Lonchura striata: one gene and its partners. The protein of the gene in region 1 interacts with the protein of each later gene in a biochemical or structural test. Links are inferred from orthologs where the notes say so. Each region holds a gene or a part of one and is shown on either strand. Other genes may lie near its edges.

Region 1 (7,608 bases):
GACACCGGTGAGAATCCCGGGATAAAACCGGGATATCAGCCGGGGACACCGGTGAGAATCCCGGGATAAAACCGGGATTTCAGCCGGGGACACCGGTGAGAATCCCGGGAAAAACCGGGATATCAGCCGGGGACACCGGTGAGAATCCCGGGATAAAACCGGGATATCAGCCGGGGACACCGGTGAGAATCCCGGGATAAAACCGGGATTTCAGCCGGGGACACCGGTGAGAATCCCGGGAAAAACCGGGATATCAGCCGGGGACACCGGTGAGAATCCCGGGATATTAGCCGGGGACACCGGTGAGAATCCCGGGAAAAACCGGGATATCAGCCGGGGACACCGGTGAGAATCCCGGGATATCAGCCGGGGACACCGGTGAGAATCCCGGGAAAAAACCGGGATATCAGCCGGGGATACCGGTGAGAATCCCGGGATATTAGCCGGGGACACCGGTGAGAATCCCGGGAAAAAACCGGGATATCAGCCGGGGACACCGGTGAGAATCCCGGGAAAAAACCGGGATATCAGCCGGGGACACCGGTGAGGAATTCCGGGATAAAAATGGGATTTCAGCCAGGGACACCGGTGAGAATCCCGGGATAAAACCGGGATTTCAGCCGGGGACACCGGTGAGAATCCCGGGAAAAACCGGGATATCAGCCGGGGACACCGGTGAGAATCCCGGGAAAAAACCGGGATTTTAGTCAGGGACACCGGTGAGAATCCCGGGAAAAAACCGGGATTTTAGCCAGGGACACGGCCACCGGTGAGGATGGAACCCCAAAAAGGGAATTTGAAGCCAAAATTTTAGGATAAAAATGGGATTTTATCCCTCAGGAAACGCTGGAAATTTGGGATTTCATTATCTGAATTCCCTCAAATCCCCCCCGGTGCCGCTTTTTTTATTCCCTCAGTGAAAAAGAGGAAATTTGGGATGGAATTTTGGGACCAAAATATGAATTTTGGGTTTTTTTCCCTTTTTTTTCTCTCCCCAGAAAATCCCAGGAATTGAAAACCCCTCTGGGAACGCCGGGAAAGCCTCAGAAGCTTCCGGAATCTCCTCCCAAATTTTGGGAATTTCCCCTCTGGAAAAGGAGCCCCAATTCCCTGCGGATGCCTGAGCTTTTATCCCAAAAATCGAAGAAATAAAAATCCCAGGAATTTTCAGGATGGGACCAAAAATTCTGATTTTACTTCTTTTCATTCCCATTTTTTCCCCTTTTTTTCCTCTTTTCTTTCCCATTTTTTTCCTCTTTTCATTCCCATTTTTCCTTTTTTTTTCCTCTTTTCTTTCCCATTTTTCCTCCTTTTTTCCCACTTTTCATTCCCAACTTTTTCCTCTTCGCCCCCTCCCCCCCACTTTTTATTCCCTAATTTTATTTAAAAAAAAAGAAGCCAAGAAAAAGAGATATTTCCCCAAAAAATTCCCAATAATCAGCACAGGAAATTGGGAATTTTTACCTGAAAATCTGGGAAAAATCCTGGAAAAAAATGCAGAAAATCCCAAATTTGACCAAACTGAAGCAGGAAATTCTGTTTATTCCACTAAAAGATTCCTGGTTTTTTTGGGAATTTCACAGTGGGGTGGGGGAAAATTGGGAACGAGGCTAAAAAATTCCCAACTTTCTGAATATTTTCCCTTAAAACCACAAAAAAATTGAGGATTTTTACCCTAAAACCACACAAAAATCTGGGAAAAATCCGGGGGAAAAAAATTTAAATTAATTTTAAAAATTAAAATTAATTTTTAAAAAAATTGAAAATTGGGAATTTTTATCTGAAAATCTGGGAAAAATCCAGGAAAAAAAATGCAAATTCTGCCAAACCGAAGCAGGAAATTCCGTTTATTCTGCTAAAAAAATTCCCATTTTTTTGGGAATTTCACGCAGGGTGGGGGAAAATTGGGGAACAGGATCACAAAATCCCCAAATTTCTTAATCTCCAATTTCCTCTTAGAACCAGAAAAAAATTGGGAATTTTTACCTGAAAACCTGGGAAAAATCTGGGGAAAAAAAAGAAAAAGAAATCTGAAATTTGGCCAAACCGAAGCAGGAAATTCCGTTTATTCCGCTGGGAAATTCCCGGTTTTTTTGGGAATTTGGCGCGGGGCCGCAGGGAGGTGGGGGATGTGGGATTTTGGGGATTTTCGGGGGGATTTGTGTTTCTGTGGGCTCGGGGAATTGGAATTTTGGGGGGAAAAAATTGGCATTCGGGACGGGAAAAAACTCCCACGGAAAATTCACACTTTTAGGGAGGGATGCAGGAAAAACCCCGAGCTTTGGGGGGTGAAATTGCCCAAAATTCCGATTTTTTTTTACCCCAAAAATCCGACTTTTACCCCCCAAAATTCCGACTTTTTCCCACAAAATTCTGATTTTTTCCCCCTAAAATTCCAATTTTTTTCCCCACAAAATTCTGATTTTTTCCCCCAAAATTCCGATTTTTTCCCCCAAAATTCCGATTCTTAGGGGGAATTTTGCAAAAATCCCGAGATTTGGGGAGGGAAATCGCCCAAAATTCTGATTTTTAGGGGGGAATGTTACAAAAATTTCCCAAAATTACAATTTCTTTTTCCCAAAATTCTGATTTTGGGACAGAATCTTGGGATTTTGGGGTGGAATCCCAGATTTTGGAGTGGAATTCTGGGATTTTGGGGTGGAATTTGGGGATTTTGAGGTGGATTTTCGGGATTTTGGCTGGAATTTGGAGATTTTGGGGTGGAATTTGGGGATTTTGGGGTGGAATTTCAGGATTTTGGGGTGGATTTTCGGGATTTTGGCCGGAATTCTGGGATTTTGGGGTGGAATTTTGGGGTTTTGGGGTGGATTTTCAGGATTTTGGCCGGAATTTGGGGATTTTGTGGTGGAATTTTGGGATTTTGGCCGGAATTTTGGGATTTTGGGGTGGATTTTCAGGATTTTGGCCGGAATTTGGGGATTTTGGGGTGGAATTTTGGGATTTTGGGGTGGATTTTCGGGATTTTGGCCGGAATTCGGGGATTTTGGGGTGGAATTTGGGGATTTTGGGGTGGAATTTTGGGGTGGATTTTCGGGATTTTGAGGTGGATTTTCGGGATTTTGGCTGGAATTTGGGGATTTTGGGGTGGAATTTTGGGATTTTGGCCGGAATTCAGGGATTTTGGGGTGGAATTTTGGGATTTTGGCCGGAATTTGGGGATTTTGGGGTGGAATTTTGGGATTTTGGGGTGGATTTTCGGGATTTTGGGGTGGAATTTTGGGATTTTGGGGTGGAATTTGGAGATTTTGGGGTGGAATTTGGGGATTTTGGGGTGGAATTTCAGGATTTCGGGGTGGATTTTCGGGATTTTGGCCGGAATTCTGGGATTTTGGGGTGGAATTTCAGGATTTCGGGGTGGATTTTTGGGATTTTGGCTGGAATTTGGAGATTTTGGGGTGGAGTTTTGGGATTTTGGCCGGAATTCCGGGATTTTGGCCGGAATTTGGGGATTTTGGCCGGAATTCCGGGATTTTGGCCGGAATTTGGGGATTTTGGGAGCTCACGTGAAGGAGGATTTGTAGTCGGTGCTGTGGACCCATTCCCAGTTTCCCTCGGCGCCGGGTCCCTGAGGGGAGACTTAAAGGGCGGGAAAAAAAAGGGCGGGGAAAAAAGCTCAAGGGGGAGATGAGGGGAAGAAAGGGGTAGAAAAGGCGGGAAAAAAAAGGCGGGAAAAAAGGCAAGGGGGAGAAAGGCGGGGAAAAAAGGGCGGAAAAAGGGGCAAGCGGGGATGAGGGAAAGAAAGGTGTGGAAAAGGCGGGAAAAAAGGGCAAGGGGGGAAGAAAGGGAAAGAAATGGGGGGGGGGGGAAGGCGAGGAAAAAGCGGGAAAGAGGCGAGGCTGCGGCGCCTTCGGGCGCCATTTGTCCCCTCCCAATCCTCGTTGTCCCCAGCCACCCCTCAGAGCCCCCCCACGGAAGGCAAAGATCCCCCCCAGTCCCTCCCAGTAACCCCCAGTACCCACCCGCGAGGGGGCCCGGGCCGCTGCCGCCATCTTGGCCGTTGCTAACAACAAACGCCGTTGCCAGGCAACGCGCCGGCGTGCCCGTGACGTCACTTCCGGGCCCGCCACAGCGGCGGCCCCGTTGCCGTTAATCCCCGCTGCGGATGAGCTCCGCGATGGGGATGAACGACCACGAGAGGCTGCCTCTCGGTGTCCCCCCGGTTCTCCCGGTGTTCCCCGTTCTCCTCCGCCATCCTCCGTTCTCCCCCTCCCATCCCCCGTGTGACCAAACCGGCGCCACGTAGAGGCTTTAAACCGGCCGCGCGCGTTCTGTAGCGTTGGGTTTGTCGATAATAAAGCTGCTTTTGGAGGCTCCGGTTGATTTCTTTGCTCCGGTGGGACCGGGACGCTCTAACCGGGCACAGTAGAGGCAGCGCTGCGTCTTTGCGTTCCGGTTAAATTTAGCCACGCACGGCCACCATCCCGCCTTTCCCGCGCGCGTCTCGGCTTCACCGCGCGCTTGATTGACAGGCGGCTCCGCCAATAAGATGATGCCCTGAGGGGCGCATCGTCTCTGCCGACCAATAGGAACGCGAGAAGCGCTGGTTTGCCCGCCCCTCCGCGTGGCGGTGTGGGCGGGCCGCGCAGGGCGGGCAGAGGGAAGGGAAGATGGCGGAGGAGGAGAAGCTGCCCGCGGGGTGGGAGAAGCGAATGAGCCGCAGCTCCGGTGAGGGCCTGAGGGCTGGGGGGAAGCGCGGGGAAGGAGCTGCGGCCATGGGGGAGGTGGGAAAGGGCGGTGGGGGCGGCGGGGTTGGGTTTTGGAGGGGGTGAGGGGGCGTGGTGGGGGGGGTGCGTGAGGGGGATTTGAGGAGGGGGCGGCGAATTGAGGGAGGGTCGTGAGGGGGCATCGCTTCAGGGAGGGGGGGTCAATGTCGTGAGGGGAATTTGGGGGGGTCGCCAATTTAGGGGGGTTCTGAGGGGGGGGGGTTCGTCTCAGGGAAGAGGGGGGGCAATTCCGTGAGGGGAATTTGGGGGGTCCCGCTCATGAGGGGAATTTGGGGGGGAGGATCTCCCTCCTGAGGGGAATTTGGGGGGGGATCCCCCTGGTGAGGGGAATTTGGGGGGGCGTCAAAGGGAATTAGGGGGGTTCCCCTTCCTGAGGGGAATTTGGGGGGGATCCTCTTCCTGAGGGGAATTTGGGGAGGATTCCCCTCGTGAGGGGAATTTGGGGGGGGGAATCTCCCTCCTGAGGGGAATTTGGGGGGGAATCTCCCTCATGAGGGGAATTTGGGTGGGATCCCCCTGGTGAGGGGAATTTTAGGGAGATCCCCCTCATGAAGGGAATTTGGGGGGGCTCAATGGATTTTTAGGGTCCTTAACCTGCATTTTGGGTTTAATCACCTCAATTTTCAGCAGCAATCAGTAAGCAATCACTGATCAATAACCTATAATTAATCAATAACTGATATTTGATCAATAGCTCCCCAGGGAGGGGGTACTGCTTCAACCACCAGGCAAAGATCAGCCAGTGGGGTCATTGAGGTGGGAATTGATGTCAATAAGCTGATTTATCAGTGCAAATCAATAAATGATCAGTGATCAATAACCAATAGCCGACCAATATTGATTGATAACCGATTAGTAACCCTGCAGGACACGTGTACTACTTCAACCACCTGGTGAACGCCAGCCAGTGGGGTCAATACTGGGGCCTGTGAGGAGGTTTTGGTACCAATAACCAATTTTTTGATACCGATCGGTAACCAATCAGTAATCAATAACCAATAGCGGATCAATACCCCCCAGGCAGGGTGTACTACTTCAACCACCTGACGAACGCCAGCCAATGGGAGCGGCCGAGCGGCGCGGGCCGGGCGGAGCCGGGCCGGGTGCGCTGCTCGCACCTCCTGGTGAAGCACAACCAGTCCCGGCGCCCGTCCAGCTGGAGGCAGGAGCGCATCACCCGCTCCAAGGAGGAGGCGCTGGAGCTCGTCAATGGTCAGGGATAAACTGGGATAAACTGGGAGTGGTACTGGGATAAACTGGGAGTGATACTGGGGGGATACTGGGATAAACTGGGAGTGATACTGGGGGGTTACTGGGGAGACTCAGCTGGAGGCAGGAGCGCATCACCCGCTCCAAGGAGGAGGCGCTGGAGCTCGTCAATGGTCAGGGATAAACTGGGATAAACTGGGGGGGATACTGGGATAAACTGGGAATGATACTGGGATAAACTGGGAGTGATACTGGGATAAACTGGGAGTGATACTGGGGGGATACTGGGATAAACTGGGAGTAATACTGGGGGGTTACTGGGGAGACTCAGCTGGAGGCAGGAGCGCATCACCCGCTCCAAGGAGGAGGCGCTGGAGCTCGTCAATGGTCAGGGATAAACTGGGAATGGTACTGGGATAAACTGGGAATGATACTGGGATAAACTGGGAGTGATACTGGGATAAACTGGGAGTGATACTGGGGGGATACTGGGATATACTGGGGGGATACTGGGGGTGATGGGCTGATGGGATACTGGTGATACTGGGATACTTGGGGTACTGGGAGTGATGGGATACTGGGGATACTGGGAATGATGGGATACTCAGGGTACTGGGAATACTGGGAGTGATGGGATACTGGGGATACTGGGAATGATGGGATACTCAGGGTACTGGGAATACTGGGAGTGATGGGATACTGGGCATACTGGGGATACTGGGCTTCATTAATGAGCTCAGGAGCTGGACATTCTTTATAAAAGCTCGCCAATGGCAAATAGAAACTCTGGGAATGAATCCCAGGAATTCCAAAGGATTTGGGATCTCCCCGGATTCCACCCCAAATTCCACCTTTTCCCAGAAGTCAGCCCTAAAATTCCACCATTTCCCAAAACTCATCCTAGAATTCCTTCCCTGGATGGTTCTTTTCTCCAATTTTCCCTTTTTTTTGGGGGAAAAAAAAAGCTCCCTGAAATGACCGATTTTTGGGGAAAAAAAAACTGGGAATAGTGAATTTGGGGGGGAAAAAAAAGTGGGAGTGAGTGATGACTTTTCGGGAAAAAAAAACCAGGAATGTTGGTTTTGGGGTAGATTTGAGGATATTTTGGGATTGTCTCATTTCCCATGGAATCTGCGGCACCCAGGGAATTTTGGGAGTGGTTTTGATCCCTAAATTTGGGGTTTTCCCGTTTTTCTTCCAGGTTACATCCAGAAAATCAAATCGGGAGAGGAGGATTTTGAGTCTTTGGCTTCGCAGTTCAGCGACTGCAGCTCGGCCAAGGCTGGAGGAGACCTGGGAGCGTTCGGGAGAGGTGAGGGATTCATCCCAAAAAATCCCCAAATCCATCAATTCCAGGGGAATCATCCCCAAACCCCCCCAAATCCAGAGGATTTACTCTCCAAAAAAAGACCCAAATCCAAGGAATTCCAAGACATTTATCCCCCCTCAAAAAAAACCCTCAAATCCAGGGAATTCACCCCCAAAAAACCCCAAATCCACCAATTTCAGGACTTTTTCTCCCCCCCAAAAAAATCTCCAAATCATGCAATTCCAGGGGATTTATCCCTAAAATCAGCCATTTCAGGGGTTGTTTCCCCAAAAATTCACAGAATCCATCCAATTCCAGGGGATTTATCCCTAAAATCAGCCATTT
Region 2 (7,616 bases), on another chromosome or scaffold:
TATTTTTCAAGAGACTTTCAGGCTCTCCATCACGTTACTGCTTGGTTCTGCAGGATTTGCTGAGAAGTTTCTGAACAGGCATCTTAATGAGGCAAGACAAGGCAAAGAGGCTGACTTTCCAACACCTGGCAGGCCTGCTGGCACAACAGAAACTACCCACATGGATGTAAAAAGCTCCTGGAGGTACAACAATGGTCCAAAGCTACATCTCCAGTGGGGTTTATTCCCTGGTGTAGGGCTAATTCAGATTTGAATATAGGTTGTAATGACTAAAAAATTAGAAAGTGCAAGAATGGTTTATAGAACAGATGAGATTAGATGCTTTTTGTTTTTAAACAGATATATTCAAAACAGTAAGAGACAGGTTTTTTAAAAATCTTTTTATCTGCACACCTAAAAAATGCTTGTAAAATGTCTTGCCTTGAATGATGCCCATAAGAGCTTATTAGAAGAAGAGCAGTAGATTAAAAAAAAAAAGGTACAGTACCTCTCTTATGGTTTTGCATGTTCCCTGAAGGAGAAAAAGGAAACAGGTTAGTAATAGAGGTAAATTAGTAGTGTAGTGACTACTTTGTTTCTCTGCATTATCCACTGAGGTTTTTAATTGCTGGTAGAAAATATTTGTTTTGATAATTTTAACTTGGGCTCAACAGAGGAATGGGACATTCTAATTGTACCTGTTTCAGTCATAGCAATCATTCTGTTTCTTCCACTCTTCAGATATTTTGGAGGAAATTTCTTACCTGAAGACAACTCTCAGGAACAGATTGTTTTGCCATTTCTTGCTAAGCAGATTTCAAGTGTTAAGAGGCAGACTTAAAAGCAAAAAAGGGAGTCACTAAGAACTATCATGAGTGTGTGCTCTCATTGTCATAGACAATTATTGAATTGTATGTGACTGCTTGGCACAACCTGTACTTTTTAAATGTACTTTGTACATTTTAACTTCTAAGTACCTTTGGATCTTCCCTGAAATTCCTAGATTTTGGATCCAGAAGCTGTTCTTTACTTTGTGGAAACTCTGATGCTGTCAAATTCCCCTTTCTATTCTCTACCTTTTTCTCTTGCTGTTAATATTTAGAGTTCCTAGATGAATAATTCCCTGAGAAATGTTCTTTCTGCCTGCAGACTATAAAATAAAAAGAGAACAAGGACTGGCAGCATCAGCTATTGCCATGTCGTATATACAAAGTCCATTTCTGATGGGAAACTCATTTAACTCTGGACCTTGTAGTTGAAGAGAAAGAGGTTGCCAGCTAACAGCAGCTGTAAGCAGCACAACCCCAGATAAAATAAACTGCTCACCTTTAGGCTGTTAGTGGCCCAGACACAACATCTCCCAGCTGGCACACTCCCACTGGGACCTATTGTCCTTGTATATGTCAAGTCTTGTGTGAGCACTGGAATGCTATTGCTGGCACTGGTGATAAGCACACTGGTCCCTGGGTACCTGCTGAAAACCAAGATAAAAGCTGGGAAAACAGCAAAAATCTCTCTCTGCTCTCAGTTCTCCACCAACGGCCTTGGCACAGGTGCCTGTAGTGTTTCTGTTTTTCATAAAAGCAGCTTTACCTGCTTCCTCTTCTGCTCTTTCACTCCATTTACACCTCCCCTGATAAGGGGAATTATGCTGGCTGATGTAGAATGGGTTTCAGCCAGATTTTGGCAGAACTCTTCCAATTTGATGGAAGTGCTTTCGGAGGATTCCAGATGAGCTTGCAAGTGCAGGAATCCTGACAAGATGGCAATGCCACTTTTCTGGCAGTTCTGACGGCCAGACAAATTGGCCATTGTTCTCTTTCTTCCCCATTTTTATTTGACTTCCCCTGCTACCCACAAAAGTTGGAAACAATGGTTTCCTTGGGCTTGAAAGCTCCTAGTTAAAAGCAGCTGTTTGCCTGTGAGTCTGTACTGCTCACAGACAGATAAATACTTCTAGTAGCAAAATCCTCAGTGCAGCTTAAAAACAAGTATTATAAGAAGGAAAAGAACCAATGTTGCAAATATATATCCTGAAAACCGTTAAACCACTCAAATTTGTAGGAATATCAGTCAGGCACTGCCTAGACATCAGTTTGTGTGCTGTTATGTCTATTGGAAGAATCAGGGCTTGAGTCTGCAAGATCTGTAGCAGTTCAAAAGTGCAATTTAATCAGTTTCAGAGAATTTGGGATGTTTTGGCTTGGAGAGTGTGGCACAGTGGAGGCCTGCAGAGCTCCTCACTCAGCTTCTTCCTCCTGTGGTGATGTCCATTGCTCTCTGGGATGGAATTGGCTCTGTGGGGCTCTCTAGCCAGGCTGCTCCTGGGGCTCATGATTATTACAGGTGTCACAGGGGACAGGGGAGCAGAGTTCCACTCTCAGTCTGGGCAAAAGTCATCTCTTCCACACAACTGTTCATAGTCCTGTCAGACTACAGCAAAAGAACAACGGGTGCAAGTTCAGAGCAGCAATTACACAGAGCCTGTGAACTCTTACGTAGCAGCTGTGCATTTTGTTACCTACGTATTTATTCACGACTTCCCTTTCTTAATTGCTTTCAGATTGCAAATAAACTTTGTTTCAAAAGCATTGTGTTACTATTGTTTCCTTATTTCTCTGTTCCTTTTTTCCTTTCCTCTCCTGTTTTCCCTTCAGAAATACTTTTTTCTCTGTACAATTCTTGAGTTGTACCATTTGATTTTGTCCCACTAATCTGGTCCAGTGATTAGTATTTAATTGGTTTAACTCAATTACAACAGAGCTTCTGAACTTCAGTTTGTCACTTGCTGTCACCAAATACCTGTGTCTGTAGACTCCAGAAATCATGAGTTATATTACATTGAGTTTGGGAGGGAAACTGCAACCTTTGACATTACAGGGGGAGGGATTTACTGAAAGCTTAGTCTTTGAACTTTTTTAAAGAAAAGGAAACTTCATTTATGACTGAAGAAAGCCACAGATAGTGGCTGGGCAGTTTTGAGTCACTTTATAAGAATTGCTTTGCATCTTCCTCTGTGAGCTCTGAATGGAGAAAGAGGTGGTGGAGATTGTATTTTTAAATAACCTCTTACATAATCTGATCTAAAATTCTAATGCTTCAGTTAGTACTTTGTATACAGAGCCTCTCATTTTAAAAAATTACTAATTTTAATGGGATGTTAGTGCAGTTCTAAATTATTGCACACCAAGTGTGTTTATACTGGACTTGATGTAGCCCTATCTCTGTCCCATTTTCATAGGTGATGTTGGCTACTTTCAGTTTTCTGAAACTTGTTTTCAGTTTTCTCCAAAATGCAAATCTCAAAACTTGTGTTCCTGTGGCTCATCACTGCTTGTCCTAAAACCAAGACAGCTCTCTGCAGAGAAATGGTATTTTCAGGCAGAAGAGGTTAAAGAATTTGGAGCTGCCAGAAGTGCAACAGGGGACACTGACATCCCTGTGAGTCCGAGGAATGTGTCTAGGAATGTGCCAGGGGCAGCACATGAGGACTGCCTGCCGGGCGAGGAGGGTGAGCTCTGCGGAGGCGGAGGGGCTGTGCCGAGCGTCCCGGCGCGCTCAGCTGCGAGGCGAACGCGTCCTGGCGCTCCTGCGGTCCCGGGAGCGCTCTGCGTGCCTGGGGCTCAGCGGGCGGACCCAGCTCGGTGTTTGGGCTCTCGGGGCTCCCGTGCCTGGAAAAAAAACTGTTTTTTCATGGGCTCTGCTACCCAAGGGGCTCGTTTTAAGGTGATTTGGTTCAGAAGAGAGGGACGGGTTGATCTGTTGGGGGTAATCAGACAGAAGACGAAACCACGAGGCAAAGTGGTGGCACCTGTAGGGAGACACGCCTGATGCGCAGCACCCACCGTGCATGGGCTTGGCTGTGCTGGGACTGAGTCCGTCTGCAGCGTCCTACGGGAGTGAACGGCACGGGCACGGGCACGGGCAGCGCGCCGGCCGCAGCCCTTTAAACCACGTGCGTCCCGTTATTGGGAATGCAGGAACCGTCTGGCCGCGCTTAGAAAAGGAAACACGGTCTTTAACTGGCGCACAAGGTGCTGTTATTATTATTGTTGTTATCATATATTAAATACTGTATTATCATTATGGACATTTTTCCAGTTCCAGCAACTCTACGGGAGCAAGAGCACGTTGCAGGGGAGCGGGAGCGGCAGTCCCGCAGGGCGGCGCGGCGTCCCCAGGCTCGCCGGGCGCTGCCCCCGGAGCTGCCCGGGCGGGGCAGGGCGCTGTCCCCGCGGTGATCCCGGCGCTCCCCGAACGCCGTCTCCAGGCGGTTCCCGCTGCCCGGGCGGGGCCGCCCCGGGGCTAAAATGGCGCCGGGCGCGCACCTCACGGGCGGACACGTCCGCGCGGCCGCCTCGGGGCGGGGCCCCGCCCCGGCCCGGCCCCCCCGCTCGCGCCAAAGCGGCTCGTGACGCGGCCGCGCGCGGCCCCGCCTCCGCGCGCCGTGTTTTCAAACCTGGTGGGCGGGCGCGATTGGCCGGCGTGCGCCGCACGTGACCAACGGTCGCGGGAAAGCCGCGGAGTCCGAACGGCGCGCGGCGGGACCGTTCCTGGGCAGCGCGAGCCGAACCGGCACCGCACGCGGGCGGAGCGCGGGCAGCGCAGCGGGAGCGGCGCGGGCGGAGCGGCCGCCATGAGCTTCCTCAGCCTGCAGCGGGCGGCGCCGCCGCGGCGCGTCTCGGCCCGGCGGGCGGCGGCCCCGATCCGGCAGAAGCTGCTGTTCCTGAGCGGCCACAGCGACTGCGAGGAGGAGGAGGAAGAGGAGGAGGAGGAAGGCTGCGGCAGCGGCAGCGCCAACAGCACCGGCGAGGACTCGGCGTTCCAGGAGGCGGACTCGCCGCTCTCGGCCGCGCGCACCCCGGCGCGGAGCGACCCGCCCCTGCTGGAGGAGGAGGAGGAGATGGAGCCGGCGGCGGCGCCGCTGCCGGACGAGGGGGACTCGTGGGAAGAGGAAGGCTTCGGCTCCTCGCCGGTCAAGTCGCCCGGAGCCTATTTCCTGCTCGACTCGCCCTCTCCGCTGGCCCCGCACAAGGGCCGGCGCTGCTGCGAGCGCTCCCCGCCGCACTCGGCGGCCGGCGGGTACCGGGGGGCGCGGGGCGAGGAGCCCGGCTCGCCGCTGCCCGACTACCCGGGCACGCCGCCGCACAAGACCCTGCGCAAGCTGCGGCTGTTCGACACGCCGCACACGCCCAAGGTGAGCCGGGCGGGGTCGGGTCGGGCCGTTCGGTAACGGCGGCGCCGCTCGGGACCGCGCCGGGGCTCCGGCCGGGGCGGGGTCCGGCGGCGCCGCCTCCCGACGGGACACGGGGCGAGCCGCTTGCTTAGGTGGTAGTCATATAGAAACTAAAAAGTTTTCCGAGTTGGGCAGTGTTTTGTGGAAAGCGTGTTTGAAAAGTGTGAGCGTAGAGTATTAAAACTCCTAGAGTAAGTGCTGGAGTGTGGAGTGGGCGTTGGTAGGGGTGTAGCCAGAAAGTTAAAGCTCGGCTTGGGGTGTGATCCTGCGGTGAGCTGGCATTTCCTAGAAGGAATTTCTTCACAGGAAAGGTGATTTGTCATCGGAATGGATGATGGAATCACCTGGGAGGTGGTGGAGTCACCGTCCCTGGAGGTGTTTAAGGAGAGGCTGGAGCTGGCACTCGGTGCCGTGCGCTGGCGAACACGGCGGTGCTGGGTCGTGAGCTGTGCCCGATGATCTCAGAGGCTTCTCCAGCCTGGCGGGCTCTGCTGTGATCCTGCCGTGTGCCAGCGCTGCTTCAGCGGCCGCGCTCCTGCATCAAACGCGAAACGCTCTTTGAGCAGTCGATGCTGATGGAGTCCAAAGTTTAGATGGACAGATGGGTAGCTCTTAACTCTGTCAATAACAGACTTTTGGAACGCATTTCAGCTTTTGAACTCGATGCTGTGTAAAATCGCGTATAGTGAATTTAAATCTAGTCATAATTGACTTCCTTTCTTCATTACTTTTTGTATAGCCCTTTAGAAGTAATCCTGGGATAATCCCCGGGGATAATCTCCCGGGGTGTATAGACTATAGATGGAAAACAACTGATTTAAGGTGCGAGGAAGGCTTCCTTCTTAATTGGTTTTCTACAGCTTCCATCTCCAGTGAGGTTTCACTGGTAAAAATCAGTGGTACATGTTTGTAAAAGGTAAAATTGGTCATGAGTTTACACCTTGTCAGGGGCAGACGCTTCAGAGTTGACAAAGTTTTGTGATACTAAAAACAAGTTCTTAACACAAGAGTTCAGTGGGATTCTTAATTTAGGGGGCCGAATTCTACATAGATGATCTTTGGAAGGCTCAGTTGTTTCAGACGAGATTCCCATATACTGAGTGTTCTTCCCTGTGGTGGTTTAGGCTTCAGTCCTGTCAGATCTTTATTTTGTTCTTAGGATAAGGTGCTCCTTCTGGTTGTGATCCAGTCGTTGCCATCCTCACCAGGATGAAGGAGACTCAGGTGCAGACTTTTCAGTGTAACTGGGAGAGGTTTTGTTATGTGCCTGGAAGATGCAAATCACCACCCAGAAGATCAATTTTGGATATTTAAATGACAGTGCAGCCATGCTGCTAATTCTTGGACCGTTTTTTGTAGGCTCAGGAAATATTAAATGTTGTATTTGCTATTTTTTTTGAAGATTGTCACCTAAATTTGTAGAAACCAAAGATCGTTCCATGTCTGATCTAGCTTCCAGATCCTGCATGGGCAAATCATGGTGGTACAGTACAGGATTGTCCTTGAATTTTATCTGTGCTCATTTAATGGACAAATATTTGTCCAGGAAGTTTAGGTGATGAAATTATTAAAGAAAGAAAAAGATTACTCTCATCATCATCTTTTATCTTTGAAAAATAATTTTAATATTTGTTTGCTTGAACTGTTTCTGTGTAGTGTACAAAGCATAGTAGTTTCTTAGAAATTATTTTTTATGGAAATGCAGGTATTTAAACAACAGATGCTGACTTTAATTAGATAATACTGTAATGATGGCTTCAGGCACAACCTGACTGTTTGATGTCTAAGGTAATATCACGGCTGTAAGTGACTTTAAATGTTTTGGTTTTGTTTCTTTTTTTTTTTAAATACAGAGCTTGCTTTCTAAAGCACAAGGCTTAGGCTCCAGCTCAGTCAAACTTCGAGGGGGCTCGCTGTTTATGAATGTTGGGAAAGCAGAGAAGCAGGAAGATTTTAGACAAACACCTCATGTGAACATCAATCCCTTCACTCCCGATTCCATGTTCCTTCACAACTCTGAAGGCAAATGTCGTAGGAGGAAGAGAATACACTGGAATGAGTGAGTGACTTGTACCTTCCTTTGTTAAACTTGTATTTTAGAACTACTTTTGGCTGCAAAAATTTTGTTACAAATTGCTTCTAAGAAAGTATTTTTGCTTGCAGGTTGTTAGTAATGTATAATACAGCTCTTAAAGTATGTGCTTCAAGAGGCATGATATAATCATTTAGCACTAGATCTTTTGATTACTGCACAGAGAGGATAGACTGGGCTGTGTGCTGGTCTTTTTTCCCCTCATGGAATGGGCCATAGAGTCTTTTCTTCAGAAGGAAAAAAAAAAATGTGTTAAATACAAGTGTGAAACATGGAGAAAGAAAGGACAAATATATTAGCATGGCAATT
Region 3 (7,963 bases), on another chromosome or scaffold:
GTATCTCCTCAGCTCCTGAATATTTCAGACTGGCCATCCGAGGTCAAGACTGGGTTTTACTGCAGCCAGGTGAGTAATTCCAGCCAGCTCATCCCATAGGTCAGATGAGAGAAAGCCTAAAATCATAGTCTCTCTGGATATGCCCCTTGGGCATGGAGAAAGGAGGGGGAATAGCAACTCCCACCCATGCCCAAGTCTCTGCTGTTATTGGTGACAAAGTGAAGTAGAAACTGCAGCAAGGGCTGTCCCCAGGCCACAGCCAGAGCTGTGTCACTGCCTGCAGGAACTCCAGCCAGGAGGCTCCCAGGGGGTGATGATTCGGGATTTACTGGTCAGCCTCACTTACACAACCTCATGGATGCTGCAGAACAAGGCTGCTCGTGCCCAGTCACCCTGCCTGGAGGCAGAAATGGTTTGAGTTAATGCTCAGGGCAGGGTTATGAAATCAGGCAGGCCTTCAGATTCCCAAAAGAAGTCTAGAAAAACATCAGCCTTGCTCATTCCAGAAGCTAAAGGCATTCAACAACAGAGAAATGCAGCCCTGCAGAGAAGCAGGTTTTTACCCTGGCCTGACATCCCCTCTCCCAGGGACAGAGGACAGCACATTCCAGCCAGGCAGCTGGTGCTGGAGGTGGTGTCTCGCTGTTACGTAAGGACAAAATGGCCACCCCAAAATTCCACCCCTTTTCTGCAAGCCTGGATGGAACCCAGGAGCCACCACCTGCTCCTGGCTAGCCGACACTCTCTCCAGCACTGAGCTGCAGATCCACAGGAGGAGAGACCCACAACGGAGATGCCCCTCCAGCTTTTTGGCAATGGGGAACAGGAAGATCAGGCTGGTCTGGCACTTTCCCCGTGTCACGGCTGGCTGTGCTGCGCCTTTGCCGAGCTGCCCTCCCTGGAAGGCTTAACTAAAAAAATAAGAGGAGGTGGCAAGCATCGGATGTTTGGTGACGAGAAAGACTTATCTCGAGGGTATTTGTAGGACACACCTACAGGCTTAACCTTGCAGAGGACAGGGAGCCTTTCAGCTTAGCAAAAAGCACCTGGCTGCCTTCAGGCAAGCTGTAAAAACCTGCTTTACAAGATAAAAGCAAGCTTGGGGGTTTTCTTTTCACATTTAACTAGGCAGAAGTGTAGACCACAGCGCTGCATCCCCACTCCAGGATGGAGATTGCTGCACGTGGCAGCGCCCCGGTACTGCAGCCCCATTTCCTACGTGCCATCCATCACCACCCGCTGCGGCTCCATCTTCCACCAGGAGAACGAGGGCCAGACCAGAGATAAAGGACGAGCACGTGTCCAGCCGGCCTGGGAAACGTCTTACTCCCATCAAATTAAATTATCAATTTGTTGGGTGGAAAGGGAATTAAGGCCGGCGGTGGATCACTCAGGCTAACAGCAATAAATGAAAGTTTTAGTAACAGGTTTAGATAGATAAAATAGTAGGTAATTTAAAAAAAAAAAAAAAAAAAAAAAAAAACACAAAAAACGCAGGCTGCTGCAGACTCTCCAAGCTCTTTATCTAGTGCAAGTGAAGTTTCTCAGACAAGTTTCACAGGCAGAAGTCCCTGGTTCAAGCACGTGGCTCGCAGCAGTGCTTCCGGCCTCGCACAAAAAACTTTTGCTTAATCCGGTGATGGGCTGGAAACCTGCTGGCACCAGTACGGACCATTAACCCATCGACCTCCTTTTATATTAGCCAGAATTCTTCTCTATAAACGGGATCTCGGGCATAAAATTACACTCTTCAGAGGGTTTGATTTTTTTTTTTTAATTAAGCACTTCTAATTGCACAAGTTCCTGGATGTGTCTGAGTAACCAAAAATTTGTCTCTGCACCTTCGAGCCAAGGCAACTAATGATGAGCAGCAGGAAAATTAACAATTTAACATGACAAAACCTTCATAAAACACTGATTTTTTTTGTTAACCTGTGCCTCTCCGATACCGAGTTGCCTTATCAGAACAAAAGCAGGTTTTTAGATACTGCCGCCTACTTTTAGTAGTCTGAGGAGACAGTCGGGAGGTTGCTATTGTCCGCCGACAAAAGCGCTATTCATGCCTTGGTAGCTCTGCAAAGGGGGTTTAAACACGTTTGGAAGGTTTTCACAGTTCAAGAAACTGCCCAAATCAGTTGGACGTGCTTAAGCGGGCACAACTACGGGAGAAGATTAATTCAGGAAGGGCCTTCTCTTCCCGGGGGGGGCCGGGAGCAGGCTGCAGCATCGCTGGCGGGTGCAGTGAGCCGGACGGTGATTTAAGCCGATGCCCTTCGGGGAACTGCCGGCTCTTACGTGAGAGCAGGCGGGGTGGGGGAGGCGGCCTAGCGCCTCACTCCGTCTGCCTCTGACTCAGCCTCCAGCGGCTCGCTGCCCGCGCCGGGCGGCAGCCGCAGCGGCGCCCTGCGCTCCGCTTAACGGCACGGCCGCCGGGCACACGCGGGGCTCCCCGCTCCCGCGTGCCCCGCCTCACTAGCACCCCAAACCGTACCCCCGCCGCCACCCCGCTCCCGGAACGGCCGATTCCCGCTGTGGGCCGTGGGGAGATGCTTTGGAGCCGGCGTTCCTCGGCGTGGGATCGGAAGGGATGCTCGGAGCGGGCGCTCCCCAATGCTGGGACGCGGAGGGATGCTCGGAAAGGGCGTTCCCCGGTGCGGGATCTCGGGGGATGCCCGAGGCAGAGGAGGGGACGCGGGGCCGGGGCTGCCGGCAGCCACGTGCACGACGCCGCGAGCCCCCTCCTCAACCCGTAGGGCGCGCGCCCCCTCCCCTCAGCCGCCGCCCGGGGGGACCCTCTCCCGGCGGCGGAAACACGGGAATAACGGCGGTACCGGCGCGGCCGGCCCCACCGCTCGCAGCCCCTCAGGTCGCCGTTACCTGCCGCCGCTCAGTCACGCCGCTAACGCGTCCTCTCTCCCCGAGCGCCGCCGCCGCTCTGCACGCTGCCCCCACGCCCCGCCAAGGTGATCCCGGCCGGCCGCAGCACCGCCCCCCTCGGATCCCTCCGCCGCCCGCCCTGCCGGGGGCCGCAAGGGCGGGGCGCCGGGGCTACTTTCAGGGGCGGACGCACAAAGCACGGGGGAGGCGCTGAGTCACAGCACGCGCTCGGCCGGCCAATGAGGAGGCGGCACAGCTGCCGCGCGCGCGGACGGAGAGTGGCCGTCGCCTTAAAGGGACCGCGGCCCGGCGCGGCGCTCTTAAAGGGACCGCGGCCCCCCTACTCACACTGACACCCCCAGCTCACACCTCAGGGGTCCCTCACTCTGGGGGGGACAGCGGCTCCGGGTGTTTTGGGGTGCTTTGGAGGGTCCCGAGACCTTCCAATGGGGACACTGGCGAGCAGTGTGGAATCTCTGCAGTGGGGCTATGAGGACACAGTACTGGGAACACTGGGGACACGAGGCTGGAGATGCTGGTGACATGGTGCTGATGCCTTAAACAGCTGGAACTGAGGCTAGATGGTGTTAGGAAGAATAGAGTGGGTTTCTATTGAAGTGCCTTCAAAGGCCACACCCTGGCAGATGGCTCCAACATGGAAGGAAAAGAAGGCTTGGTCACGAGATCTGACATTTTTATAAGTTTTAGTCTTTTTGCATATAGGATTTAACTTTCCAATTAATAGCTCCAAATTATGAAGTTTCATCCTCCTTGCTTGCTTGCCTGCTGTACTCATTTCATGTTGTTTATGCTCTGGGCCTGAAGTTTGAAGAGCTTGTCCTTGAGTCTCCACCTAGAGCAGGATTGTTTTGTCTTCAGCCACCCTGTGAAAAGATCCCAGTAACACTCGGTATAAAGCTAAAAGTTGCACGCCAACACAGAATGGAAGAGAAAAGCTTAAAACCTAAGTAATCAGTGCTGGGAGTGCTGAGGACACTGTGCTGGGGTCAAGAGAGATCAGGCTGGAGATGCTGGGGCCACAGGGGACACTGTCCCAGCTGTGTGGGAACACAACATGGACACTGAATGGCAAATCCATGAAGGCCTTTGCCTGGTTGTACTGGGGACCCCGTGCTGGAGGTATTGGGGACATGATCCCAGAACCATGGGGACCTTTTGCCTGTGACCCATGACAGTGGCTCCACACTGGCACCGTGGTGACACTGGGGACATGCCATTAACACAGGGACCTGTCCCACAGACCCTGTGCTGGACTGTAGGGACGCTCTGACAGCCATCTGGGGACCCCAAATGTATGCTGGGACCACAGAGGGGTTCTGTAGTGGGCACATTGGGAAGCCTGTGGTCCATGGAGGGGACCCAAAATAGTCACCCTGTGCTGGGGAGCTGGGAGCCCTGTACTGGGGACGTTGGGGACTCTGTACTGGGGACACTGGGGAAACTGGGCTGGGACATTGGGGAGTCTGTACTGGGGACATTGGGGACTCTGCACTGGGGACATGAGGGAAACTGGGCTGGGATATTGGGGACTCTGTACTGGGGATGCTGTGAACTCTGTACCGGGGACACTGGAGAAACTGGGCTGGGGACACTGGGGACTCTGTACTGGGGACATTGGGGACACTGGGCTGGGGACATTGGGGACTCTGTACTGGGGACACTGGGGACTCTGCACTGGGGACATTGGGGACTCTGTACTGGGGACGCTGTGAACTCTGTACCGGGGACACTGGAGAAACTGGGCTGGGGACACTGGGGACTCTGCACTGGGGACACTGGGGACACTGGGCTGGGGACATTGGGGACACTAGGCTGGGGACACTGGGGACTCTGTACTGGGGACACTGGGGAAACTGGGCTGGGGACATTGGGGACTCTGTACTGGGGACATTGGGGACTCTGTACAGGGGACATTGGGGACTCTGTACTGGGGACACTGGGGAAACTGGGCTGGGGACATTGGGGACTCTGTACTGGGGACATTGGGGACCCTGTACAGGGGACATTGGGGAAAGTGGGCTGGGGACATTGGAGACTCTGTACTGGGGACATTGGGGACTCTGTACTGGGGACATTGGGGAAAGTGGGCTGGGGACATTGGGGACTCTGTACTGGGGACATCGGGGACTCTGCACTGGGGACACTGGCTGGGCTGCGGGAACGCTGTGGCAGTCAGGGAGGGGACCCAAAATGGTCACCGTGCGCTGGGGACACGGGGTCTGTGTTGGACCGTGGGGTCACCGCGAGGGAGACCCGCCATGGCCACCCCACGTCCCCGTGCTGGCCGGGAACCCCCGGCACGGGGATCCGGGGCGCTGCGCCCGCAGCTCCGGCCCCGCCATGGCGCCGCGCCGCCCCGGGGGGGCCCGGCGGTGACGTCATGGCGGCGCCGCCGGTGACGCGCGCGGCGGCCGTGACGTCAGGCGCGGCCCTCCGGCAGCATGGCGGCCGTGCCCGCGGCGGCCGGCCCGCGCTGACATGGTGAGGGGCCGGGACGCGGGAGGGGACCCGGGCACACGGGGACACGGCCGCGGGGCAGCGCGCCCGCCAGCGGGGCGGGACGGGCCCGCGGGGCTCGGGGCAAGGGAGGGGCAGCGGCCCTCGGTGTTCCCCCGGGGTCCCCCGGCTCGGGGCGGGGATGGGGCCGCAGCAGGAGGAGGGAGCCCCGCGTCGCGATCGGCCGGGCATCCCCGGCAGCTCCATGCGCAGTCCCCGTCCTGGTCCTCCATCCTGGTCTTCCGTGCCGCTGTTCCCATCCTGGTCCTCCATCCTGCTGATCCTGCTTCCCAATCCTGCTGTCCCATCCTGCTCTCCCACACTGGTTCTCCATTCCTCTGTTCCCATCTTGCTCCCCCACACTGTTCTCATCCTGTTCCCCCATTCCAGTGTCACCATCCTGATGGTCCATCCTGCTGTCTCCATCTTGCTCCCCTCTAATCTGCTCCCTCCATCCTCCCTTTCCCAGCCTGCTCCTCCATCCCACTGTGCCCCAAATTATTCCTCCCATCCCACTGCCCACATTTCACATCCCCATCCTGCTGTCCCCAAACACTCCCCCCAACCCCTGTTGTTCTCCCCATATTACTGCTCCCCCCAAATCGTTCCCTCAATCCACTGCCCTCAGCCCTCTCCCCAGAACCAGCTCTGCTGCCCCCTAATTCCCTCCCTGTTAATGTGCTCCCCTAATCCACTTCCCAACCCTCTCCCCCATCCCTGCTGCCTCCCACCCCTCCATCCCCAGGACCTCAAGGGCCAGTACTGGACGGACGATGACTCCGACGGGGACAATGAATCCGAGGAGTTCCTCTATGGCGTGCAGGTGGGTGCTGGGTCCCCCTGGTGCCACGGGAGGCTCAGGAAGCCCCAGGCTGAGCCTGATGCCAGGCCTGGGGCTGCAGGAGGCTGTGGGAGGCTCTGGGTGTGACGGTGCTGTGCCGCAGGGGACCTGTGCCGCCGACCTGTACCGGCACCCGCAGCTGGACGCCGACATCGAGGCGGTGAAGGAGATCTACAGCGAGAATGCCGTGGCCGTCAGGTGGGTGCAGCTGCTGCCCCTGCACCGGGCAGTGCCAGGCCCAGGCACGTGGCCGGGCCGTGCCAGGATAGCTGCAGTATCCCCAGGCATCCAGCTGTGCTGTCCCTGGGCACCCAGCTGTGCCATGCCCAGGCATCCTGCCTTGCCATCTCTGGGACACTTGGCCGTGGTATTACCAGAACATCTGGTCGCAGCATCCCCGGGCATCTGGTTGTGCCATCTCTGGGGCATCTGATCATGGCATCCCCAGGGCACCTGGCTGAGCCATCCCTCAGGCATACCCTCCCCAGGGCACTGGCCACAGTATGCCCTGAGTGCTTGGCCTTACTATCCTTGGGCACCCAGACATGGCATTTATGGAGCATCCAGCTGTGGCAGCCCCAGGCACTCATCTGTGCCATCTTCAGACACCCAGCTGTGCCATCCCTGGGCACCCAGCTATGCTGTGTCCAGGGCTCTCCGCTGTGGCATCACTGGGTCACCTGGCCATGGCATTACCAGACATCCAGCAGTACCATCCCTGGGCTATCTGGCTGTGCCATCCTCAGACATCCAGCAGTGCCATCCCCAGCACACCTGGACATGCCATTCCCAGGCACTTGACGATGCCATCTTGCAGCACCCAGTAGTGGTAGCCCTGCCTAACCAGCTGTGCCATCCTTGGGGCACCTGATTATGGCGTTACCAAGGTTGACATCTGCATTCTGGGCAATCCCCCTGTGCTTACACTTGATACACAGGGAGCCACACGTGCCAGTGTCACTGTCCCATGATCCTACCCCGGCACAGTGGGCACTGGGCCACTGTTTCAGCACCGTGCCACCCCCCCGTGCCACAGCAACGCGTGTCTTCACAGGGAGTATGGGACCATCGACGACGTGGACATCGACCTCCATGTGAACATCAGCTTCCTCGATGTGAGAGCCTGGGGTGCCCCCAGCAGTGCTGGGGAGGGCATGGGAAGGGTGGGCACGTGCGCCCCAGGGGTCTCCAAATCCGCCTGCCTGGGTGGAGCTCCCGTGGCTGTGCCCAAGTGTGTCTCTGCCTTGGCAGGAGGAGGTGGCGACGGCCTGGAAGGTGCTGCGGACGGAGCCCATCGTCCTCCGCCTGCGCTTCTCCCTCTCCCAGTACCTCGATGGCCCCGGTGAGTGGGGACGGGCGGGATGTGTTGTCCCTGTCCCTCAGGACAGGCACAGTGGTGCACCGATGGCTCGTCCTCCTCTCTCCCCACAGAACCGTCCATCGAGGTTTTCCAGCCGTCCAACAAGGAGGGCTTCGGGCTGGGTCTGCAGCTGAAGAAGTAAGAGCTGAAACATGGTGGGCACACCAGGGTAGCGGGTGGGGTGGCTCACAGAGTCACTGTTCTGCCCCAAAACTGGTCACGTGCCACACGTCCCCTCTCCACCGCCTTCTATCCACCACACAATCCTGTGACGGGCGCACCACCGTGTGTGGGCTCGGGGTGTCAATGGACCACCAAGCACCCATGGGCGCTGTCCCCCCTGTTTGCCAGGATCCTGGGCATGTTCA
Region 4 (6,945 bases), on another chromosome or scaffold:
CCGTGAGCGGCCTCGGGATCGGGATCGGGATCGGGATTTGGGATCGGGATCGGGATCGGGATCGGGATTTGGGATGGGGATTTGGGATTTGGGATCTGGGATCGGGATCGGGATCGGGATCGGGATTTGGGATCTGGGATCTGGGATCGGGATCGGGATCGGGATCGGGATCGGGATTTGGGATCTGGGATCTGGGATCGGGATCGGGATTTGGGATTTGGGGTTTGGGGTTTGGGATCTGGGATCGGGATCGGGATCGGGATCAGGATCGGGATTTGGGGTTTGGGGTTTGGGGTTTGGGATCTGGGATCGGGATCGGGATCGGGATCGGGATCAGGATCGGGATTTGGGGTTTGGGATTGGGATCGGGATTTGGGATGGGGATTTGGGATCGGGATTTGGGATTTGGGATCGGGATTTGGGATCGGGATCAGGATTTGGGATCGGGAACGGGAACGGGATTTGGGATCGGGATTTGGGATCTGGGATCTGGGATCTGGGATCGGGATCGGGATCGGGATCAGGATCAGGGTTTGGGATGGGGATTTGGGATGGGGATTTGGGATCTGGGGTTTGGGATTTGGGATAGGGATTTGGGATCGGGATTGGGATCGGGATCGGGATCGGGATCGGGATTTGGGATGGGGATTTGGGATCGGGATTTGGGATGGGGATTTGGGATCGGGATCGGGATTTGGGATTTGGGGTTTGGGATCTGGGATCGGGATCGGGATCGGGATCGGGATCGGGATTTGGGATCGGGATCGGGATCGGGATTTGGGATCGGGATCGGGAACGGGATCGGGATTTGGGGTTTGGGATCTGGGATCGGGATTTGGGATCTGGGATCGGGGTTTGGGATGGGGATCTGGGATGGGGATCTGGGATCTGGGATAGGGATTTGGGGTTTGGGGTTTTGGGATGGGGATTTGGGATCTGGGGTTTGGGATTTGGGATAGGGATTTGGGATCGGGATTTGGGATTTCAGATCGGGATCTGGGGTTTGGGATATGGGATTTGGGATGGGGATCTGGGATGGGGATTTGGGATCTGGGATCTGGGATCGGGATTTGGGATGGGGAGTTGAGATCTGGGGTTTGGGATCGCGATTTGGGATTTGGGATCTGGGGTTTGGGATTTGGGATAGGGATTTGGGATCGGGATTTAGGATGGGAATTTGGGATGGGGATTTGGCATTTGGGATTTGGGATGGGGATTTGGGATCGGGATTGGGGATTTTGGGATCGGGATTTGGGATTTTGGGATCAGGATTTGGGAAGGGGATTTGGGATTTGGGGTTTGGGATTTGGGATTTGGAATCTGGGATCTGGATCTGGGATTTGGGACGGGGATCAGGATCGGCATTTGGGACCACAGGGATTTGGGATTGGGATCTGGGATGGGGATTTGGATTGGCATTTGGGATTGGGATTTGGGATTTGGGATCGGCATTTAGGATGGGAATTTGGGATGGGGATTTGGCATTTGGGATTTGGGATCGAGATCTGGGATGGGGATTTGGATCGGGATCTGGGATCAGGATTTGGGCTTTGGGATCGGGATCTGGGATCGGGATCTGGGGTTTGGGATTGGGATTTGGGATTTGGGATCGGGATCTGGGATCGGGATCTGGGGTTTGGGATGGGGTTTGGGAGCGGGATCTGGGGTTTGGGATGGGGTTTGGGATCGGGATCTGGGATTTGGGATGGGGTTTGGGAGCGGGATCTGGGATTTGGGATGGGGTTTGGGATCGGGATCTGAGATTTGGGATGGGGTTTGGGAGCGGGATCTGGGATTTGGGATGGGGTTTGGGAGCGGGATCTGGGGTTTGGGATGGGGTTTGGGAGCGGGATCTGGGATTTGGGATGGGGTTTGGGAGCAGGGCAGCCCCGCTGGGTTTGTCCCCAAGTCCCCGTCCCGGCTCCGGCGGCGCCTTCCCGGGGCCGGGATCCCCTTCCCGACCCCACAGCCGACCCCACGGTCCCCTTCCAGCCCCACAGTCCCCACCCCAATCCCAGATCCCCATCCCAAATCCCAGATCCCCATCCCACATCCCCATCCCGATCCCAAATCCCCATCCCGATCCCACATCCCCATCCCAGCCCCACAGTCCCCACCCCAATCCCAAATCCCCACCCCAATCCCACATCCCCATCCCGATCCCACATCCCCATCCCGATCCCAAATCCCCATCCCAGTCCCAGAATCCCCATTGCAATCCTACATCTCCATCCCAATCCCACATCCTGATCCCAAATCCTTTTCCCAGGCTCCATCCCAGTCCCAAATCCTCATCCCGGTCCCAGAGTGCCCATCCTGATCCCATATCCTGCTCCCCATCCCTGCATCCCAAATCCCGATCCCACAGATCCAACCCTAGGCAACACCTCAATCCCAAATTCCCATCCCGATCCCAAATCCCCTTCCCAGTCCCAGAATCCCCATTCCAATCCTACATCCCCATCCTGATCCCACATCCCGATCTGAAATCCCCATCCCGGTCCCAGATCCTGATCCCAAATTCCCGGTCCCGCATTCCCGGGCACCGCCTCACAGCTCCGCCCTCCCTCTCCCCTCCCTGTCCCCTCCCTGTCCCCTCCCTGTCCCTCCCTGTCCCTCCCTGTCCCCTCCCTGTCCCTCCCTGTCCCTCCCTCTCCCCTCCCTCTCCCCTCCCTGTCCCCTCCCTGTCCCTCCCTCTCCCCTCCCTCTCCCCTCCCTGTTCCCTCCCTGTTCCCTCCCTGTCCCCTCCCTGTCCCCTCCCTGTCCCTCCCTCTCCCCTCCCTCTCCCCTCCCTGTCCCTCCCTGTCCCTCCCTCTCCCCTCCCTCTCCCCTCCCTCTCCCCTCCCTGTCCCTCCCTGTCCCCTCCCTGTCCCCTCCCTGTCCCTCCCTCTCCCCTCCCTCTCCCCTCCCTGTCCCCTCCCTGTCCCCTCCCTGTCCCTCCCTCTCCCCTCCCTCTCCCCTCCCTGTCCCCTCCCTGTCCCTCCCTGTCCCCTCCCTGTCCCTCCCTCTCCCCTCCCTCTCCCCTCCCTCTCCCCGCTCCTCCTCCCGCCGTTCCCGTCCCCGCCGCGCCCCGCAGGTACCGGGAGGGACCCGGGGACAGACCCGGGACAGACCCGTGGACAGACCCGGGACAGACCCGGGACAGACCCGGGACAGACCCGGGCCAGACCGGGGACCCGGGGGGGGGACCCGGGGGGGACCTGGGGGGTCCCGGGGACAGACCGGAGCCCCTGCCCGGGGAGAGGGGCCGGGTGCGTTTTTAGGGCGGGGTGGGAAGGGGGTTCCCTTGGCTTCGGGGGCTCAGCCAAGGGGGTTTTGGGGTCCCAGCCAAAGGTTTTGGGGTCACTGCCGGGGGGGTTTTGGGGTCCCAGCCAAAGGTTTTGGGGTCACTGCCGGGGGGGTTTTGGGGTCCCAGCCAAAGGTTTTGGGGTCACTGCCGGGGGGGTTTTGGGGTCGCTGCCAGGTAGATTTTGGGGTCTCAGCCAAGGGGGTTTTGGGGTCACTGCCGGGGGGGTTTTGGGGTCGCTGCCAGGTAGATTTTGGGGTCTCAGCCAAGGGGGTTTTGGGGTCTCAGCCAGGGAGGTTTTGGGGTCTCAGCCAAGGGGGTTTTGGGGTCTCAGCCAGGGAGGTTTTGGGGTCTCAGCCAGGGAGGTTTTGGGGTCTCAGCCAAGGGGGTTTTGGGGTCTCAGCCAGGGAGGTTTTGGGGTCTCAGCCAAGGGGGTTTTGGGGTCGGTGCCAGGTAGATTGTGGGGTTGCTACCGGGGAGGTTTTGGGGTTGCTGCCAAGGGGGTTTTGGGGTCACTGCCAAGGGGGTTTTGGGGTCTCAGCCAGGGAGGTTTTGGGGTTGCTGCCAAGGGGGTTTTGGGGTCGGTGCCAGGGAGGTTTTGGGGTTGCTACCGGGGAGGTTTTGGGGTCTCAGCCAGGTAGATTCTGGGGTCTCAGCCAAGGGGGTTTTGGGGTCTCAGCCAGGGAGGTTTTGGGGTCCGGGTGTCCCGGCTTTTCCCTCTGTCGGGGCAGGAAGGGGCGGTGGCCATGGCGGCACGGAAAGCGTTTTACTTTCACTTCCACCGGCGCTCGGGAACCCGAGATTCCGGGAAGATCGAGAGCTCGGGAGGGTGGCGAGGGAGCGAGGGGCGGGACAGCAGAGCCCCGAGCGGGATCTGTAGCTCCGACCCCCGACCTGCTCCATCCCGGGGGCGCATCCCCGCAGATGGAGACGGAACCGGAGGCACAAGCGGCACCGGAGCAGCAGCCGGAGCCGTGCCCGGCCTCGAGCACCCCGGCACCGGCCTCCCCTCCCCATCACCCCGCCGAGGGCGAGGATGAGGAGGAAGAAGATGACGATTTCCAATTCCTGCGCTGCGACGGCTGCGGGCAGGAGTCGCCTCAGCCGCGGCTGCTGCGCTGCCTGCACACGCTGTGCCCGGCGTGCCTGAGCGACACCAAGCAGTGCCCGCGCTGCCGGGCGGCCGCGGCCGTGCCCGCCGTGGACAACCTGCTCTTCTGCAACCTGCGGAGCCGCCTGCAGCTCTGGCGGCAGATCCGCAGCGCCGGCGGGCCGGGCTGCGGGCACTGCCGCGCCGAGGCGGCGCTGGTTTGGTGCCAGGAGTGCGAGGAGTTCCTGTGCGGGCGCTGCCTGGAGGAGCACCAGTGGTGGCACAAGAAGAAGGCGCACAGGGTGCGCAGGGTGGAGGAGCTGCGGGCGGGCTCGGCGCGGCAGTTCCTGGAGGACACGCGCGGCTCCTGCAGCCTCTTCTGCTCCAGCGACAGCCACCCCGAGGAGAGCCGCGTCTGCAGGTGGGAGCGCCTCGGCACCGCTGCGGGCGACACCGCGAATCTCCTCCTGGCCCCAGATCTTGTCCTGGCCTCAAAGCTTGTCCTGGTACCAAAGCTTGTCCTGGTACCAAAGCTTGTCCCATCCCAAAACCTCATCCTGGCCCCAGATCTTGTCCTGGTACCAAAGCTTGTCCTAGCTCCAAAGCTTGTCCCATCCCGAAACCTCGTCCTGGCTCCAGATCTTGTCCTAGCCCCAGATCTTGTCCTGGTACCAAATCTTGTCCCATCCCAAAACCTCGTCCTGGCCCCAGATCTTGTCCTGGCTCCAAAGCTTGTCCCATCCCAAAACCTCGTCCTGGCTCCAGATCTTGTCCTGGCTCCAGATCTTGTCCTGGTACCAAAACTTCTCCTGGCCCCAAAGCTTGTCCCATCCTGAAACCTCGTCCTGGTACCAAAGCTTGTCCTGGCCCCAAATCTTGTCCCATCCCAAAGCCTCGTCCTGGCCCCAGATCTTGTCCTGGTACCAAAGCTTGTCCCATCCCGAAACCTTGTCCTGGCCCCAGATCTTGTCCTGGTACCAAAGCTTGTCCTAGCTCCAAAGCTTGTCCCATCCCGAAACCTCATCCTGGCCCCAGATCTTGTCCTGGTACCAAAGCTTGTCCCATCCCGAAACCTTGTCCTGGCCCCAGATCTTGTCCCGTCCTCAAAATGTATCATGGCCCCAAATCTTGTCCTGGTACCAAAGCTTGTCCTAGCTCCAAAGCTTGTCCCATCCCGAAACCTCATCCTGGCCCCAGATCTTGTCCCGTCCTCAAACTGTATCATGGCCCCAAATCTTGTCCTGTCCCCAAATCTCTTCCTGGCCCCAAATCTTGTCCTGGTACCAAAGCTTGTCCTGGCCCCAAAGCTTGTCCCATCCCAAAACCTCATCCTGGCTCCAGATCTTGTCCTGGCTCCAGATCTTGTCCTGGTACCAAAGCTTGTCCTGGCTCCAGAGCTTGTCCCATCCTGAAACCTCGTCCTGGTACCAAAGCTTGTCCTGGTACCAAATCTTGTCCCATCCCAAAGCCATGTCCTGGCCCCAGATCTTTCCTGGTCTAAGATCTTGTCCTAGCCCCAGATCTTGTCCTGGCCCCAAATCTTGTCCCGTTCTCAAACTTCATCCTGGTCCCAGATCTTGTCCTGGCTCCAGATCTTGTCCTGGTACCAAAACTCATCCTGTCCTCAAATCTCACACGGGCCCCAAATCTTGTTCTGGTCCCAAAACTTCGTCCTGGCCCCAGATCTTGTCCTGGCTCCAAATCTTGTCCTGTCCCCAAATCTCATCCCATCCCCAAACCTTGTCCTGTCTCCAAAGCTCATCCCATCCCCAAGTCTCATCTTGTCCCCAAACTTCATCCTGTCCCCAAATCTTGTCCTGTCCCCAATCTCATCTGGTCCCGTATCCTTGTCCCGTCCTCAAATCTCACACTCTCCCCACACCTTGGCCTGTCCCCGGACATTGCCATGGCCCCAGATCCTCTCCCCAAATCTCATCCTGTCCCCAAATCTCATCCTGTCCCCAAAACTCAATTGTCTCCAAATTTCATCCTGTCCCCAAAACTCTTCCTGTCCCCAAACATTGCCATGGCCCGAAAACTTATATTGTCCTCAAACCTCGTCCTGTCCTCAAATCTTGTCCTGTCCCCAAAACCTCCCCATCCCCAAATCTCGTCCTGTCCCCAAAGCTTGTCCTGCCCCCGAATCCCACCCTGCTCCAGGAGGTTTGGGGGTGATGCTCCAGCCTGGAATGTGCAGGAGTGGGATGAACCCAAATCTCATCCTGTCCCAAAATGTCACACAGTCCCCAAACCTCATCCTGTCCCAAAATGTCACACAGTCCCCAAACCTCATCCTGTCCCAAAATGTCATAGTCCCCAAATCTCATCCTGTACCCAAATCTCATCCAGTACCCAAACCTTATCCTGTCCCCAAAATCCCGTCCTGTCCCCAAATTCCCTGTCCCCAAATCCCTTGTCTCCAAATCCTGTCCTGTCCCCAAATCCCGTCCTGTCCCCAAATTCCGTCCTGTCCCCAAATCCCCTGTCCCCAAATCCCTTGTCCCCAAATCCCATCCTGTCCCCAAATTCCATCCTGTTCTCAAATCCTGTCCTGTCCCCAAATCTCATC

What was found.
Region 2: the proteins of PIN1 (region 1) and WEE1 form a complex in vitro, tested with the Homo sapiens proteins (2 studies listed by BioGRID, with this or other methods). The link is inferred for Lonchura striata from reciprocal best matches to the Homo sapiens genes PIN1 and WEE1.
Region 3: the proteins of PIN1 (region 1) and PKM form a complex in vitro, tested with the Homo sapiens proteins (2 studies listed by BioGRID, with this or other methods). The link is inferred for Lonchura striata from reciprocal best matches to the Homo sapiens genes PIN1 and PKM.
Region 4: the proteins of PIN1 (region 1) and PML form a complex in vitro, tested with the Homo sapiens proteins (2 studies listed by BioGRID and IntAct). The link is inferred for Lonchura striata from reciprocal best matches to the Homo sapiens genes PIN1 and PML.

Annotation. Positions count from the first base shown.
Region 1 is NC_134623.1:1,532,943-1,540,550, forward strand, and holds the start of PIN1 (peptidyl-prolyl cis-trans isomerase NIMA-interacting 1), read left to right. Parts: upstream 1-4,600; 5' UTR 4,601-4,628; coding exon 4,629-4,686; intron 4,687-5,765; coding exon 5,766-5,957; intron 5,958-7,155; coding exon 7,156-7,266; intron 7,267-7,608. Other genes in the region: CHCHD5 (coiled-coil-helix-coiled-coil-helix domain-containing protein 5), read left to right, coding at 999-1,124. UniProt on the Homo sapiens protein: Peptidyl-prolyl cis/trans isomerase (PPIase) that binds to and isomerizes specific phosphorylated Ser/Thr-Pro (pSer/Thr-Pro) motifs.
Region 2 is NC_134608.1:51,622,150-51,629,765, forward strand, and holds the start of WEE1 (wee1-like protein kinase), read left to right. Parts: upstream 1-4,603; 5' UTR 4,604-4,615; coding exon 4,616-5,176; intron 5,177-7,068; coding exon 7,069-7,274; intron 7,275-7,616. UniProt on the Homo sapiens protein: Acts as a negative regulator of entry into mitosis (G2 to M transition) by protecting the nucleus from cytoplasmically activated cyclin B1-complexed CDK1 before the onset of mitosis by mediating phosphorylation of CDK1 on 'Tyr-15'.
Region 3 is NC_134613.1:7,004,100-7,012,062, reverse strand, and holds the start of PKM (pyruvate kinase PKM), read right to left. Parts: upstream 3,011-7,963; 5' UTR 2,878-3,010; intron 1-2,877. Other genes in the region: protein mono-ADP-ribosyltransferase PARP6, read left to right, coding at 6,071-6,217, 6,339-6,433, 7,290-7,350, 7,487-7,577, 7,667-7,733, 7,947-7,963. UniProt on the Homo sapiens protein: Catalyzes the final rate-limiting step of glycolysis by mediating the transfer of a phosphoryl group from phosphoenolpyruvate (PEP) to ADP, generating ATP.
Region 4 is NC_134613.1:6,278,861-6,285,805, reverse strand, and holds the start of PML (protein PML), read left to right. Parts: upstream 1-3,945; 5' UTR 3,946-4,210; coding exon 4,211-4,797; intron 4,798-6,945.